Linked DNA regions of Arabidopsis thaliana. The protein of the gene in region 1 interacts with the protein of each later gene in a pairwise test. Each region holds a gene or a part of one and is shown in the gene's direction. Other genes may lie near its edges.

Region 1 (5,343 bases):
TCCTCACATCAAAAACATGACGGCATTGAGAAGAACAATCTCCATCATTTTCGTTTTCTATCTCTCATGTTAGCTTCTCACTCAGTCACTCTATATACTACATATCTCTTACATTTTGATTAATCGATCTATAAGACCTAATAAAATATGGTATGTGTTTGCAATTAATAGGTACGTTGTTCGTGAATATCTTTGGAGTTCAAGCCAGAAATTTATGCAAGACAGATGAAGATTGTGTGTTGCGATGTCAAGATCCAGGTGCGAACTGTATTCTTGGAATATGCCATTGTTCGCGCCAACAAGTTGAGACTGAGCTGACCAAGGTGATAAGATGCAAGACTGATCGTGATTGTCCTGATTCTCATCAATGCCCTAAAGATTATTATTATGCTTGCCTTAATAATGGAGAATGTACTTGTATCTCTGTTTGAGAAACCTTAAACCACTCTAACAAATAAAAGAGAAACCTTAAACCATGATTGTTCAGATTCTCATCAATGCCCTCTATTCAATATACTAAACCTTTAAATAGAACTAAAGCTCACCCTATATACAATATTCAAAGAAAATAATAGGGTGGGTTAAACCGCCAGCTGGATGCTTGAAGATTAACACGGATGGTGCGTCACGTGGGAATCCGGGGCTGGCAACCGCTGGAGGAGTGCTACAGGATAATGAGGGGCGATGGTGTGGCGGTTTCTCTTTGAATATTGGGAGAAGCTCGGCACCAATGGCGGAACTGTGGGGAGCATATTACGGTCTCTACTTAGCTTGGGAGAGGAAATCATCACATATAGAGTTGGAAGTAGACTCGGAGATAGTAGTTGGTTTTTTGAAGACAGGGATAAGTGATCATCATCCACTGTCTTTCCTGGTACGTTTGTGCCATGGCTTCATATCGAAAGATTGGAGAGTCCGAATTTTTCACGTGTATAGGGAAGCTAATCGTTTTGCTGATGGATTAGCGAACTATGTTTTTTCTTTACCACTTGGGTTTCATTTTGTTCCGAATGTTGTTGATTTATTTTGGAAAGAGGATAACCTTGGGGTAACATGTCCAAGGCAAATCCCAGTCCATTAGGTTTGTTTTCTTAAGTTACTTTGAATAGAACGGGAGGCTCCGCGGCCCGATCGCTTACCAAAAAAAAATATTCAAAAAAAATAATTATAAATATAAAAATCAAAAAATATATTATAAAATCAGAACGTTAAACAGAAACATCCATGTGAAAATCAATATAATGTTAAATCATAAATAGAAGTTAAACATAAATATTCATTCAAAAAAATATAAATCTTTATAACTATGTATATGAAGTCCAAAAATATAAATCTTTATAATTATGTATATGAAAAAGTTGAAGAAAAGTGTAAACGAATGAAGCCTTTTAAATCAGTAAATGGCTTCATTTTTTTCTCTCCCTTGTTGAACATTTGTGCATGTTTATTTGGTTTGAGTTATGTGTAATTTTTTTGTCCTTTATGTAGCACTCAGTTTCAGTTTCGGTTAAGACCTATTTCAATCTATACAATTTTTGTCATACTTTTTTTACACCAACTTTGATACTCTTAACATGAACGTGTTTTGGTGTGGCAAATTTTTATTCCCATCATATCGATCTCTAATTTGTTTAACAAAAATTAATAAGAAACTTTTATTCGACCTAATTTTTACTAGCACGGAACAAATTTATATATATGCACTTGGAATGACGTAATTGAATATATGAATGGAAGTTAGGATACCAAAATAACTATGTAGTATTTGAATCTTACTAGCTCACTCGATGAGAATGGAAGTAGGGGTACCAAAATAAAAAATTTGGTCCACCACAACCAGATTGGTAAAATTCGACCGGACATTTATTCCGGTTAGATCTCAAAAACAATATTAAATAAATACCCAATAAGGAAAGTCGAAATTAATGCGTTTGATAAAAGATGATCGTCTGAATTAGATACGCACTAAAACATCAAAGAGTCACTCTAAACTCATCTCTCTCGCCGAATTCTCCCCAACAATTTCCGCCGGAAACAAATTCTCAGATTCCGGTAACTCTAAAACTATGTCATCGGATATTCCGTGCTGCGGAACCACGTTCTCGCTCTACGTCGTGATAATCATAGCTCTTGTAGCGTTCGCTGGCTTGATGGCTGGTTTAACTCTTGGTCTCATGTCTCTCGGTTTAGTCGACCTCGAAGTTCTCATCAAATCTGGCCGTCCTCAAGATCGAATCAACGCCGGTGAGTGCTTCAACTTGATGACGATTCTGTTGAATTTTGAAGATTCTGTTCTTTAGCTGATTTTATGATTTTTAATTGTACATAGCAATTGAAGAACATGTGTATTTGATTGTTAGGTAAGATATTTCCAGTAGTGAAGAATCAGCATCTGTTGCTATGTACACTTTTGATCGGAAACTCTATGGCTATGGAGGTGATACTTGATTTTTTGGTTTCTATGTATTTGAAGCAGAGACTTGTATATATAATGGTGTTGATGATCTCTTTTTATTGTAGGCTTTACCAATATTTTTGGATAAAATTGTGCCTCCTTGGTTAGCTATTCTTCTTTCAGTGACTCTTATACTGGTGTTTGGAGAGGTTTTATATCTGTTACCTATAGTTTTGATATACTTTTGTTTTCCATTTTTACAGTTTGTGATTATAGTTTCTCTGCTGTTGAGTATCTGCAGATAATGCCACAAGCAGTTTGTACTCGATACGGGCTTAAGGTTGGAGCGATAATGGCTCCTTTTGTTCGTGTTCTTCTTGTACTGTTCTTCCCAATTTCATATCCAATCAGTAAGGTAGAGAGTCAGATTTTCTGTTTTGAAAAATCAGCTTGTGTAATCCCTTTTCTGGCTTGATTGAAATGCTCGGCTAAATCTTGATGTTTCTCTGTTTTGGTAAACATTGTTGCTTCAGGTTCTTGATTGGATGTTGGGTAAGGGACATGGAGTTCTTTTACGGAGAGCAGAGCTAAAGACATTTGTGAATTTCCATGGAAATGAGGTATGCAGCTAGTGATGTTTGCTATGACCTTGGAATTGAAAACTGAAGCTGTGTTGTCCTCCATATTAAATAGTTCCAGATGTGTCGCTGAACCGTTGTGTCTCTTAGAGCCAACTTTTCTGACAGACTTTTGTATATAATTCTTGTTTACTAGGCTGGGAAAGGTGGAGATCTAACAACCGATGAGACTTCAATCATCACAGGTGCACTTGAATTAACTGAAAAGACGGCAAAAGATGCAATGACTCCCATATCGAATGCATTTTCCCTTGAGCTTGATACACCTCTTAATTTGTGGGTTCTTTTTTTTTTGTTTTGCTTCCATCATCTTCTATTTACTCTTATTCAGTTTACTTAAATATTTTGACCTTATAATCTGCTTTCATCCACAATACAGGGAAACTTTAAATACAATTATGTCAGTTGGTCATAGCAGAGTTCCAGTTTATTTCAGAAATCCCACACATATAATTGGGCTCATTCTGGTACCTATCTTTCATATGGACTTTGTTTTTGTATTGTCTAGCTTCACAGCATGTAATGTCCCCTTTTGCTGATGCAGGTTAAAAATCTATTGGCAGTTGATGCCAGAAAGGAAGTTCCTCTGAGAAAAATGTCCATGAGAAAAATTCCACGGTAAATGACTCTCTAAAGCTAACTTTCTTTCTTTACGACCAGGATTTAATGCATACACAGAGTTCATGTTTATACTATTTATTTCCTCCAGTGTCTCTGAGACCATGCCACTATATGATATCTTAAACGAGTTCCAGAAGGGTCACAGTCACATAGCAGTTGTTTACAAGGATCTTGACGAGCAGGAGCAATCTCCCGAAACAAGTGAAAATGGTATTGAGCGCAGAAAAAACAAGAAAACGAAAGACGAACTTTTTAAGGACAGTTGTAGGAAACCAAAAGCTCAGTTTGAGGTATCGGAGAAGGAAGGTGTGTCTCGGCATAACTTAGCGACGTTCCATAAATAAACATGAGAACACATGTTAGCCTAATTTTCTTTGGAATTGTAGTATTCAAAATTGAAACCGGAGATGCAAAATCCGGCAAGAGTGAGAACGGTGAGGAGCAGCAAGGGTCAGGGAAAACAAGTCTATTGGCTGCTCCAGCTAAGAAGCGACATAGAGGCTGTTCGTTCTGCATTTTGGACATTGAGAATACTCCCATACCTGATTTTCCTACCAATGAGGAGGTTGTAGGAGTTATCACCATGGAGGATGTTATCGAAGAGCTTCTTCAGGTAACTCAAACCGAAGCATGAGCATCTGCTTTAGTTATTAGCATTAGAGAAGTAAAGAATCATAGGCATTCTTTTTTTGCTCTGATTTTTCAGGAAGAGATCCTTGACGAAACCGATGAGTATGTGAACATCCACAACAGGATAAGAGTCAACATGCATGCTTCTCCAGAGAATCTACCAAGCGTGATAACCTCAATCACGCAATCATCATCGGGTTCCACTAGTCCCAACCAAACATCTCATATGGCCACACCAGATTCAAGTCCTACAACAAAACCATCAAATTCAAGTCCTACAAGAAAACCTTCAGTATCGAGTCCTACGAGAGAGCCTTCAGATTCTTCACACTCCATGGCTCCAAAACATGAAGAGTCCACCCAAACTTTATGATGATCATATATGAGTGAAGATAGATTAGCTATGTATCCTTAAAAGATGACTTCTTTAACAGAATCGTTTGTGTGTTTGAGATTAAGACTGGTTAATAGTTTCTTTGTAATGAAAAGGATGGATCTTTTACCAAAAGAAAGAAAAAAAGCTAATACTAAACTACAAAAGTTCTTCTTGGTGGTAACATTCTACTTTAACAAAACAAAGAAACGACAGAGCCTTTTGGCCAGACAGAGTTACTGCAATCTCTGCTACAAGACACTCATAGATAATTACTGATTTAGTACTTATGAGAGACAGAATTTACCAGCTAAACTTCACTTCACAACTAAAGAACGTAACCTCATAGATAAGCACCAAAAGACATGACCATTGCTTTTACCCTAACTCCATTGATCTTCTTCTTCTTTTTCTTGATCTTCATCTTCATCTTCTTCTTCTTCCTCTTCCCATTCTATCTTCGCATTTGGACCATCATAGATTTTGGACTTCAGCAGCTTTGGTTCGTCAACATTCAGATACTCAACATGGTCAGCAAAACGGTAGAAACTACTGCAATCATCTACAAAGACGCGGACTCTGCTACGCCTGTCGAATGTTCCATGGTGTTCTTCAAAGCCTTGAATTTCAGTACATTGGAGTGTGTTCCTTTCGGGATTGTAGTAGAACACATAAAACGGTTGTTT
Region 2 (4,330 bases), on another chromosome or scaffold:
AAGTCAATTATTGGATGATTTTGTTTGCTTTTACTTTTGGAACAAAAAAAGTCTTCTACCACTTGGTTCACATGCACAACTCAGTTGTGAGTCTTGTGACTCGTTAATATATAAGCCGGTTCTTAAAACATAGAACGAAAAAAAAGAGGAGAATGTCTTGTAAAAGGAAACAACAATCAAAGATGCATAATCATGTGATCCATGTTCAACGAAGAGAAACCATTTTGATCGAGACATCTCTTTCGTCCACATATAGCTAAATAGACCTTAATAAGAAGATGACACATCAACTTCCCTTGAATCCATTCATGTAAAACACCATTATCGCACAAGACCAAAACTCTTTATCTCGTTAAATTTATGGTTACTACATGAATCTTCTTACCTCACATATCATGAAGCTCATATGAATGTGTTAAGACTCGCAGACACTATGTTGGATGTAAAAGATGCCGTTGGAGATACATTTGTACGGCTAATAGCTCCAAAGTCCAACCACGAAGAAACTCGTAGATGGTTACCGGGGTAGAGAATTGTGCTTTCTTTGTGAAAAAGGTTATCCCAAAGAAGAGGAGTTTTTTCTTACAAAACAGTATGCAATCACATATTCCATGTTACTTGCATCTCAAGTCACTTGTTGCGTACTCCTCAATGTCTTGTTTACTCCGCAGAATTGCTACCAGTCAACATCCGACCCCTACTGTTCAAGGCTTGATTTAGCATGTTACAAAAATATTTATTCACTGTTGTATATCCAAGTTTTGATTTCATTGTTTTTTTTTAATATAAATATAATTAGCAGCTATAGTATATGAAGTGAATTTAACAACTATAACATGTGTATAAATCTGAGATTTCAAATATCAGCTACAGTAGAAACTCTATAAATGAATAATATTGGGATCATGAAATTTTATTAATTTATAGTGATATTAATTTATCCTATAAATTAATAAATATTATTTTATAGGATAAATTAATATTTATCAATTTATAGAAATATTTAAGCAAAATACAACACTATTTTCTTTCAAAATAGAATAAATGTCAATAGACAACTCGAATATCTAGGTGCAAATGAAGCATACTTAAAAATTCAGAGTTTTTAGAAGAAATTATGATTTCTGTCTATAATGTTGGTGAAGAACTTGAAGACGATAATGTGAAACTTTCTGAAATAGTGACACGTAAGGAAGCAATTATCGCGTCTAGAACTCTTCATAACTTTTGTATGTATATCGAAAAGACAACACCAAGAGTTTTTGATGCAATAAAAAAAATTAGAGATGAACTTCAAAGAGATTCAAATTTTAAGAAAAGACAAATATAACGAAAGTCATATTATACTAGATTATTTTTAAAAGTATGTTTAAGATTAGTAATTATTAATTTATGATATTACTGGACCATATTTTGACATAGAGATTTCAAGAAAATTATTATCTTATTATCTTATCGATTTTGGTCAATTTTTACATTGGTCCGAATTGGAACCGACATAATATATTAATTTATCATATTTATTAATTTATCGAATATTAATTTATAGAGTTTCTACTGTAATTTCAATTTAAGTGGTTGAGGGTCTTTTTAAGACAATAATTAGTTAGTGGTTTCTCGGAAAACTGTTGAGAAGAAGAGGTCCTTCGTTTAATTTACATTAAGGTCCAAAACTATCTTATATTTACTAATTTCAACCTCAATGTTTGGATTTGGTCAGAAACCAAATTTATTAGGTTTCCAAAATCCAGTTTCGCTCCTCCTTGCTCTAGCTCTGTTATCTGATTCGTAACCATTGATGAAATGCGAGTTCTCGACGAAATTGCAGAGTCACCATTTCTGATTTCACCGCTAAACCCTAATTCGACAGCCAATGGATATAGATGGGTCGATAAGTGCCATGGATTCTTACATAACACGGTTCTCGTTGCGGCTTCTCTCTTCTTCGTCGCTTACTTAGCTTACGAAGCGAAGAAGAGTCTGTCTAAACTCTCGAATCGGAGATCTTATATCATGATTGCTTATTATGGTTGTCTTTGGCTTGTTAGCTTGCTCAATCTTGCTTGGTGCTGTCTCCAGGTTTGTTAATAAAATATCACAACTTTGATTGAATTACAAAGATTTTTTTAAGAAAGATCAAAACTTTGATTGAATGATGAGTATTTTAAGACTATTTCTAGGTTCTGTGAAACTCAAATTAGAAACTTTTTGGTCATAAGGTTAGGAATGAAATCATAGTATTTAGTGTTTCTGGATAGGTTATTGAGTAATGAATGAATGTTTCAGAAAGATGACAACTTTGTTGATGAATGAGCATATTAAAGACTATTCTAGGTTGGTGAAACTTGAATTTGGTCAGAAGTAAGTATTTAATGTTACTGTATTGGTATAAGATGTGGGTTGTTAGGAAGATCATAATTGTAATCACGGTTTATGGAAATGAGCTAGTGATCCTTGTATCTATTTACATATTCCTAGGTTAGCTTTTGATTTGATTATCATGTTTCCGGATTTGATTATAGGGTTGGGAATGTACTCCTGGGAAAGAAGTTGTTTGGAATCTGTTAACTTTGTTCACAACATCTGGAATGTTGTTTCTGGAAGTAAGCTTGGTGGCTTTTCTCTTCCAAGGAAACTATGCAAGCGGTGCAGAAGCATTAACTAGAACGTTCCTAATCTCGGGTTTTATTGTTGCTCTTGATTTGCTTCTCAAGGTATCTCTACTTTGTCTACTCTTATACCTTCTCATTTCTGAACAAATCTTAGATATGGTGAAATGACAAGTTTAGGATCTTCCTTTTGCTTTTGCCAAACTTTCTGATATGAATTAGGCCTTACCATTTCTGTAGTCCTTACGGGTTTTACCTTCATTCAGGCAATTTTTCTCTTTGGATTTGGAGTGCCATTGTTTATTGACAACAATGAAAATGGAAAAACGTTCAAATGGGGCTTATGGATCATTCATAAGCTTCTACTCACTGGCGTTTATGGGATGGTGTTCTTGATGTACAACTCTAGGTGGAGAGAAAAATTGCCTGGTAAGTTGATCAGACGCTTCTATCTTCCCATAATAGCCTCCACTGGTTTCTTTCTATTTATCATCATTCATGTCTTCTTGTTTCTAACAGCAAGGCCTGCATTCTACAACTACATAATCATCATGTTCGCCTTATACAGCCTTTACCTAGTTGCATCTGCGTTTACCGCAAACAACGCGCATTTTGGTTTCTGGTAACTCTTATCTGAAACCATCCCAACAGAGAATATTGTCTTATGTTCAGCTTGTATCTGCCTTTTAACTCAAAATACTTGCAGGTTATATGGGATCATGAGTGTTTGCTACCACGCATTATACCTTCCTCTTCTTTACATAACGTTCCTCGCAGACTTTTTCCAGGTAATCATCATCATTCATCTTCTCTCACTGACTCTCTCACTCTCTCTAAAATGCAAATGGGTTTGCTGCAGGAAGAAGATTTGAACTTGGAGAATGTATACTACTCAGAGATGAAGGATGCTGGATTTTTCGACTCTGATTGGGAATAGGACTAGGGTAACAAACATCTTCCTCATTTTCTCAATCTGTAAATACACGTTGGGTAGGATCTCCTAGAAGTCATGGCTGCTTTTTCCGGCTTTGGCGGGTTACATTTTAGGGTCTAGTCTTTTGTATGTCTGTACTTTTTCCTCATGTTTCTTTCTCTTTTATAAATCCAAAATGTCTTGTGAATCTCTTTGTTCCTTAAGCTGATAATCTAAAAGAAAGTTTTGTAGTAGTCTAAAGATTGACATAATAAACCACTAGGGCAAATTAAGACATACAACAAAGCATGACACAATTGAGCAAACGGCAATAACAAAAGACAAAAGCCTTTGGTTGTTTCCTTAACTAAGCAGTCTTCTCTTGGACGAGTTCTTCAATGAGTTCAGCAGCCTGTTGGACTGTTGCAATCTCCTTTGCTCTCTCTTCCGCCATTGTTATCCCGAACTCTTCCTCCAAACCCATCACTATCTCAACCTGCAAAAAGAAAGCAGAATTTGTTGATGATGATGTCCAATGAGCTCTGAGATACAATACAATGAGATGATATTTACCGTGTCGAGAGAATCAGCTCCAAGCTCGGTAAATTTAGTTCCGGCAGTGACTTTTTGATCATCGGTGAGCGACAATTGCTTCTTGACAATCTCAGACACTTTCTCTACTGTCTCTTGCTTGACCTTAAACCACATATATACCACATTACCAAATATATTCAAACAGCCTCAAGAAAGTCGAAGAAATATAGAGTTAAATCAACATACTGCACAAGAAACTGCGAGACGAGCAGGC
Region 3 (5,177 bases), on another chromosome or scaffold:
ATGGCTTTTAGCTTCTTCAACCTCTCAATGGATAAACCAGAAAGATATTGGGTCAAACACAGAAACTTCAACGCAAAACATCTTCTTGACCTCATTCGTATGAGCTTCTTACCTATGGATGGATACGAAGATTTCCAACTCACTAAGGGTAAATCTAGAAAGAAATCATCCTCCGGTCTTACATTGCTATTGTCGGCTACAAGACTTTCTCTCCAAGGAATAGATTTCAGTTTAAGGAGTGGTGCAGATTCGATGTTAGATATAAGGTTAAAGAAGAACAGGCTTCAAATACCAGTGTTAAGATTGGATGGGTTCATTATCTCAATCTTGCTCAATTGCGTCGCCTTTGAACAATTTTACGCAAAGAGTACCAACCACATAACAAGCTATGTGGTTTTCATGGGATGCCTTCTAAACGGCAAGGAAGATGCCACATTCTTAAGTCGTCGCCGGATCATAGAGAACTACTTTGGCAGCGAGAAGGAGGTATCAAAGTTCTTCAAAACTATATGTAAAGATGTAGTGTTTGACATACATGCAAGTTATTTACGGAATGTGTTTGTGGAAATTAACGAGAACACCTCAAAATGGTACTCAATATGTCGAAGTTTTTTACTGTCACCAAGAAATTTTGTGGCATTGCGCTTTCGTCCAATTTATCGATTCTAAATACCATTCTTCTACCTTAGCAACAGCAACAGCAAAACCGCATGATGGAACGTCCTCCAGGCAAAGCAAACATGCTCGAGCTTATGTAGAAACAATGGAATTAAAGTCGTTTTTATCTTCTACAGAAACATCATTGTTCCCTGTTTTTTATCAGTTGTGTAACTTGTGTTATTGCTATCTTTTTCGTTTTATGATGTTATCCTATATATGTATTTAAGTATTTTGTTACTCTTGTTAATTTGCATGAAATAAAGCTTTTCTACTTTCCTTTGATGAAATAAATTTGACTTTGCTTTGTCTTCTCGATTATCTTGCGCTATGAGAAGTCTTGAACTTGTCATGCAGCTGCCCTGACTTAGGGTGAACGGGATATAACTTCATGCTAATTTTCAGTGAAGTCCAAAACTTTATCGAAGTCGAGTCTCTATTTTTCTTATATCAAAATTCATCATTTTCATTTTATAAAGAGAGAGTTGTTGCATTTGATTTGAATATAGGACAAAAAAACTCATTTTTTTAGTGAAATGGATTTGAACGATAACCTTTTTAATTTAACTTAATTTTAATCGATAATTATTATTAATATATAATCATAAAACATATACACAAAAGAAAATAAAAGTAAAAGTGGTAAACAAGCCAACTAGGATGTTGATGATTACTATGTAATAAAATGGTAAAGTATGATACATGTTGATATTTACTAAACAAAATTATTGATTACATATTGAATTAATAGATAGATAAAAGAAAAGATTAGGTGAAGTGTTAAAAAAATAAAATCATAGTACATAGTCTAAAACAACTGGCACATTATTAAAAAAACTACGTACAAACCAATCAAAACAAAAAGTTAATAATACACATCATGTTCCCACGGTGACGTTCCAACAGAAACACATGAGCCCAACGCATAAACAAAACAAAAAAAAAGACAAACCAATGAAACCAATTTTAACTATTTAAATTTCAAAAAGAAAAGAAAAAACACTTGAGGGTCAATGATGTAAGGAGAAAATGGGTTAGCAATTATCCATTGGATCTATGCTTGCTTGTACCTCACAAACCGCAAAATCTTTCTTGAAGTCGTCTTAGGTTGACCAACTAAAAAAAGCGAGGGATACTTTGGTTTCGTCCATTTTTCACAATATGGTGAATTTAAGAAAGAAGTTTGAGATGAAACAGGCGAATCAGCCGGGTCGCGTCCCAAATTATTTCAGGAATAAATATCATGGATATGATGACGATATGCCGAATTTGCTACCTACGTTCATCAAATTGTTGGATACTGAGAAGGACGAAGACGGTGCCGGCTTGAACGCTGCAGAGCAAATCGATAGGGAGTTAAAAAGCCGAAAATGTGATATTCTTAAGTTCCGCAACTTGACGATTCTCGAGCTTCCTCACTTGAACGAGTTTCTGTTTTCTACGGAGCTCAATCCCCCGATCAGTGACCAGGTGATATTTCTTTCTTTTTTTTCTGTTCCAAAATTAACCAAAGAAATAGGTTGGTCGTTACTTCTGGTTTGTTTTTGGAAATAAGAACACATTTTGTAAGAGTTAGGTTTCTGTTCTTCAGGTTCGTCATCGTGACATGAATGCTCCACTATCGCATTACTTCATTCACACTAGCCTCAAATCCTACTTTACGGGAAATAATGTCTTTGGGAGATTATACAGCATTGAGCCCATCATTGATGCACTTAAACAAGGTGTGAGAGTGGTTGAACTAGATCTTTTGCCTTTTGGTAAAGACGGCATATGCGTTAGGCCAAAATGGTATATTCTGTTCTGCCTCTTTACTTCATGAAAACTTATACAGCTTGCTTTGAGCTTCTGGTTTAATTATGAACTTGATAGGAACTTTGAAAAGCCTCTAGAATTGCAAGAGTGTTTGGATGCTATCAAACAGCATGCCTTTACCCCCACGAGGAGTTATCCCGTGATAATTACGATCAAGGACAGCTTGAAACCGGATCTTCAATCCAAAGTTACTCAGGTTTATAATGTTCTTTTTCTCCTCGTTTTTCTCATATTATTACGTATTCTAATTCTTTTGGTATGATATATTGTTGCATATGTAGATGATAGATCAGACATTTGGTGATATGGTATACCACGAAGACCCCCAACAAAGCTTGGAGGAATTTCCTTCACCAGCAGAACTACAAAATAAGATATTAATATCACGAAGACCACCAACAAAATTGTTATATGCTAAAGCCGTTGAGAATGGGGTTGAGCTTGAGATACAAGAGGGGTCAACAGATAAGAATTACCAGAGTGTTGTTGGCTTTCATGCAGTGGAACCAAGAGGCATGCTACAAAAAGCATTAACAGACGACGTCCAACAACCAGGATGGTACGAAAGAGATGTTATAAGGTATTGTTGAGTTAAATAAGTTTATACTACATACCAAAACCCTTACTCAACATGTTGAGAGTAGTTGCCTCTCAAATACTAAAATATAACTGATTAGGAAATTCTTGACAATAAACAGCTTCACCCAAAATAAATTCTTGCGGACACGTCCAAAAAAACGCAACTTGTTGAGCAACCCCCCTTATAAACCTCAGAGAGCTTGGATGCACGGTGCACAAATGATTGCACTAAGCAGGCAGGTGTGACTCTAAACGTTTCTTTCTCTCTCTCTCTCTCTCTCTCTCTTTATCTGGTTTCTCTTGCTCATAACCAGTACTGGTTGCACAAGCATGTACGCATTGTGTGGAGAGCTTACCTATTGGAATCAGTTTCATGAATACATTATGTTGTACTACAGGACGACAAAGAAAAACTTTGGTTGATGCAAGGGATGTTTAGAGCAAATGGAGGGTGCGGTTACGTCAAGAAGCCGAATTTCCTTTTGAATGCAGGTTCTAGTGGAGTTTTCTATCCAACAGAGAATCCAGTGGTGGTGAAGACATTAAAGGTTTGTTTGTCATCCTACAACAATTATACTATGGTTCTATTTCTCACTTAGGATGGGTGATGACATTATATCTTGCAGGTCAAAATCTACATGGGAGATGGATGGATTGTGGACTTCAAGAAGCGGATAGGTCGACTGTCTAAGCCGGACTTATACGTTAGGGTACAAAAATCTAAATCAGGAGATGATACTTTAATTTCTTGGGTATGGAAATGAGTTTGATTTTGGTTCTTTAATCGCAAATGCACAGATCAGTATTGCCGGTGTACCCCATGATGAGAAGATTATGAACACGACAGTGAAAAACAACGAATGGAAACCTACTTGGGGAGAAGAATTCACATTTCCCTTGACCTATCCTGACCTTGCTTTGATTAGTTTTGAAGTTTATGACTACGAAGTATCAACTCCAGATTATTTTTGTGGTCAGACTTGTCTACCGGTTTCTGAACTAATAGAAGGAATTCGTGCTGTTCCGCTCTATGATGAGCGAGGTAAGGCATGCAGCTCGACAATGCTGCTCACACGTTTTAAGTGGTCTTAGCGTACAAGTTTCTTTCTCATTACCAAGTGGCGGCTCTTGATCTAGTGGTGTTTCTTAAAACCTTTCAAAGTTACGCTTTCTAGGACCCCTAGTTCAAGTTCCACCTGGAAGGGGGAAAGGGTTTAGGCAAGCTTAGATTGTGATACGGAAATAAGGTATTTGGTCCAGAAAAACTTGGCATTGGCATTTTACTTTGGAGACGAAAATAAAGTTTTCTCTTTTTCCTGTTATTTGTTGTCACTTCAAGTTTCTTTCACTTTTATTTTTGAATTTCTTTTACTGAATTACTGTCTTTTTATTTCAAAAACTATTTTTCATTCTTCTGCAAGTTCTTCTCGAGCTTGGTTCAAAACATATACATTTTTTTGGGGGGCATACTTTCTTAGGTTCAGCCGTTCAGGGTAACAACTTTTGATGGAACTGAAACTTAGTGATGAAGTAAATTAGTCATTCTTCATTTTGTGGTCATGTTAAAAATATATTTGTAAAAGTAAAAATAAAAGCGGATCTAGTTCCGAGTACTCCAGCCTCCAGGTATCCTATTTTTCATAGCAGATCTTATTTGGTCTATTGGTTTTGGATTTTTTTCATAGTGGATCTAGTTCCAACATTGACAAATGTGGTGACAATGCTAGGCCACATGTCACTATTTGCTTGGTCATCTTCTGACCGTTAAGTTTTCATCATCTAGTGACTTTCTCGTTTTATGTCACATTGTTTTCCATTTTCCTAGATTATACGTAAAACTCGTGACTTTACCTCGGTCTTATCATTCATCAGAGTTTAAAAATAGTCACCGGCGATCTTTAATCGGAGAAATGTAGATTAAATAAACTTTAAGCTATAAGATTTTGCATTGTCAATGCAAACTAGAATATTGATATAATTAAATTCTTTAGACCAACAAAAACCACCAATGAAGTAAGAGTAATGATCCAATAAAATGATGTCGTACCTGAAAGACTCAAAGCTTGGGATAAGAACAAGAAAGTGCAAGAAGATGAGAGAGAGAAGCAAGAGGATAAGTAAAGAGT

What was found.
Region 2: the proteins of AT1G47330 (region 1) and Cand8 interact in a protein complementation assay, tested with the Arabidopsis thaliana proteins (one large-scale study listed by BioGRID).
Region 3: the proteins of AT1G47330 (region 1) and PLC9 interact in a protein complementation assay, tested with the Arabidopsis thaliana proteins (one large-scale study listed by BioGRID).

The regions. Positions count from the first base shown.
Region 1 is NC_003070.9:17,349,083-17,354,425, forward strand, and holds AT1G47330 (methyltransferase, putative (DUF21)), read left to right. Parts: upstream 1-1,939; 5' UTR 1,940-2,066; coding exon 2,067-2,244; intron 2,245-2,329; exon of another isoform or gene 2,330-2,360; coding exon 2,361-2,437; intron 2,438-2,520; coding exon 2,521-2,604; intron 2,605-2,696; coding exon 2,697-2,810; intron 2,811-2,928; coding exon 2,929-3,015; intron 3,016-3,169; coding exon 3,170-3,309; intron 3,310-3,412; coding exon 3,413-3,500; intron 3,501-3,577; coding exon 3,578-3,651; intron 3,652-3,742; coding exon 3,743-3,960; intron 3,961-4,040; coding exon 4,041-4,267; intron 4,268-4,360; coding exon 4,361-4,657; 3' UTR 4,658-4,793; downstream 4,794-5,343. Other genes in the region: AT1G47340 (F-box and associated interaction domains-containing protein), read right to left, coding at 5,041-5,343.
Region 2 is NC_003076.8:9,571,549-9,575,878, reverse strand, and holds Cand8 (Protein of unknown function, transmembrane-40), read left to right. Parts: upstream 1-1,743; 5' UTR 1,744-1,803; coding exon 1,804-2,079; intron 2,080-2,522; coding exon 2,523-2,714; intron 2,715-2,875; coding exon 2,876-3,038; intron 3,039-3,128; coding exon 3,129-3,231; intron 3,232-3,315; coding exon 3,316-3,397; intron 3,398-3,468; coding exon 3,469-3,546; 3' UTR 3,547-3,813; downstream 3,814-4,330. Other genes in the region: ACP5 (acyl carrier protein 5), read right to left, coding at 3,890-4,018, 4,096-4,218, 4,303-4,330. UniProt on the Arabidopsis thaliana protein: G-protein coupled receptor. Plays a role in plants and microbes interactions.
Region 3 is NC_003074.8:17,386,301-17,391,477, forward strand, and holds PLC9 (phosphatidylinositol-speciwc phospholipase C9), read left to right. Parts: upstream 1-1,582; 5' UTR 1,583-1,818; coding exon 1,819-2,127; intron 2,128-2,248; coding exon 2,249-2,448; intron 2,449-2,529; coding exon 2,530-2,668; intron 2,669-2,753; coding exon 2,754-3,052; intron 3,053-3,170; coding exon 3,171-3,291; intron 3,292-3,449; coding exon 3,450-3,599; intron 3,600-3,677; coding exon 3,678-3,761; intron 3,762-3,849; coding exon 3,850-4,143; 3' UTR 4,144-4,660; downstream 4,661-5,177. Other genes in the region: AT3G47210 (hypothetical protein (DUF247)), read left to right, coding at 1-669. UniProt on the Arabidopsis thaliana protein: The production of the second messenger molecules diacylglycerol (DAG) and inositol 1,4,5-trisphosphate (IP3) is mediated by activated phosphatidylinositol-specific phospholipase C enzymes.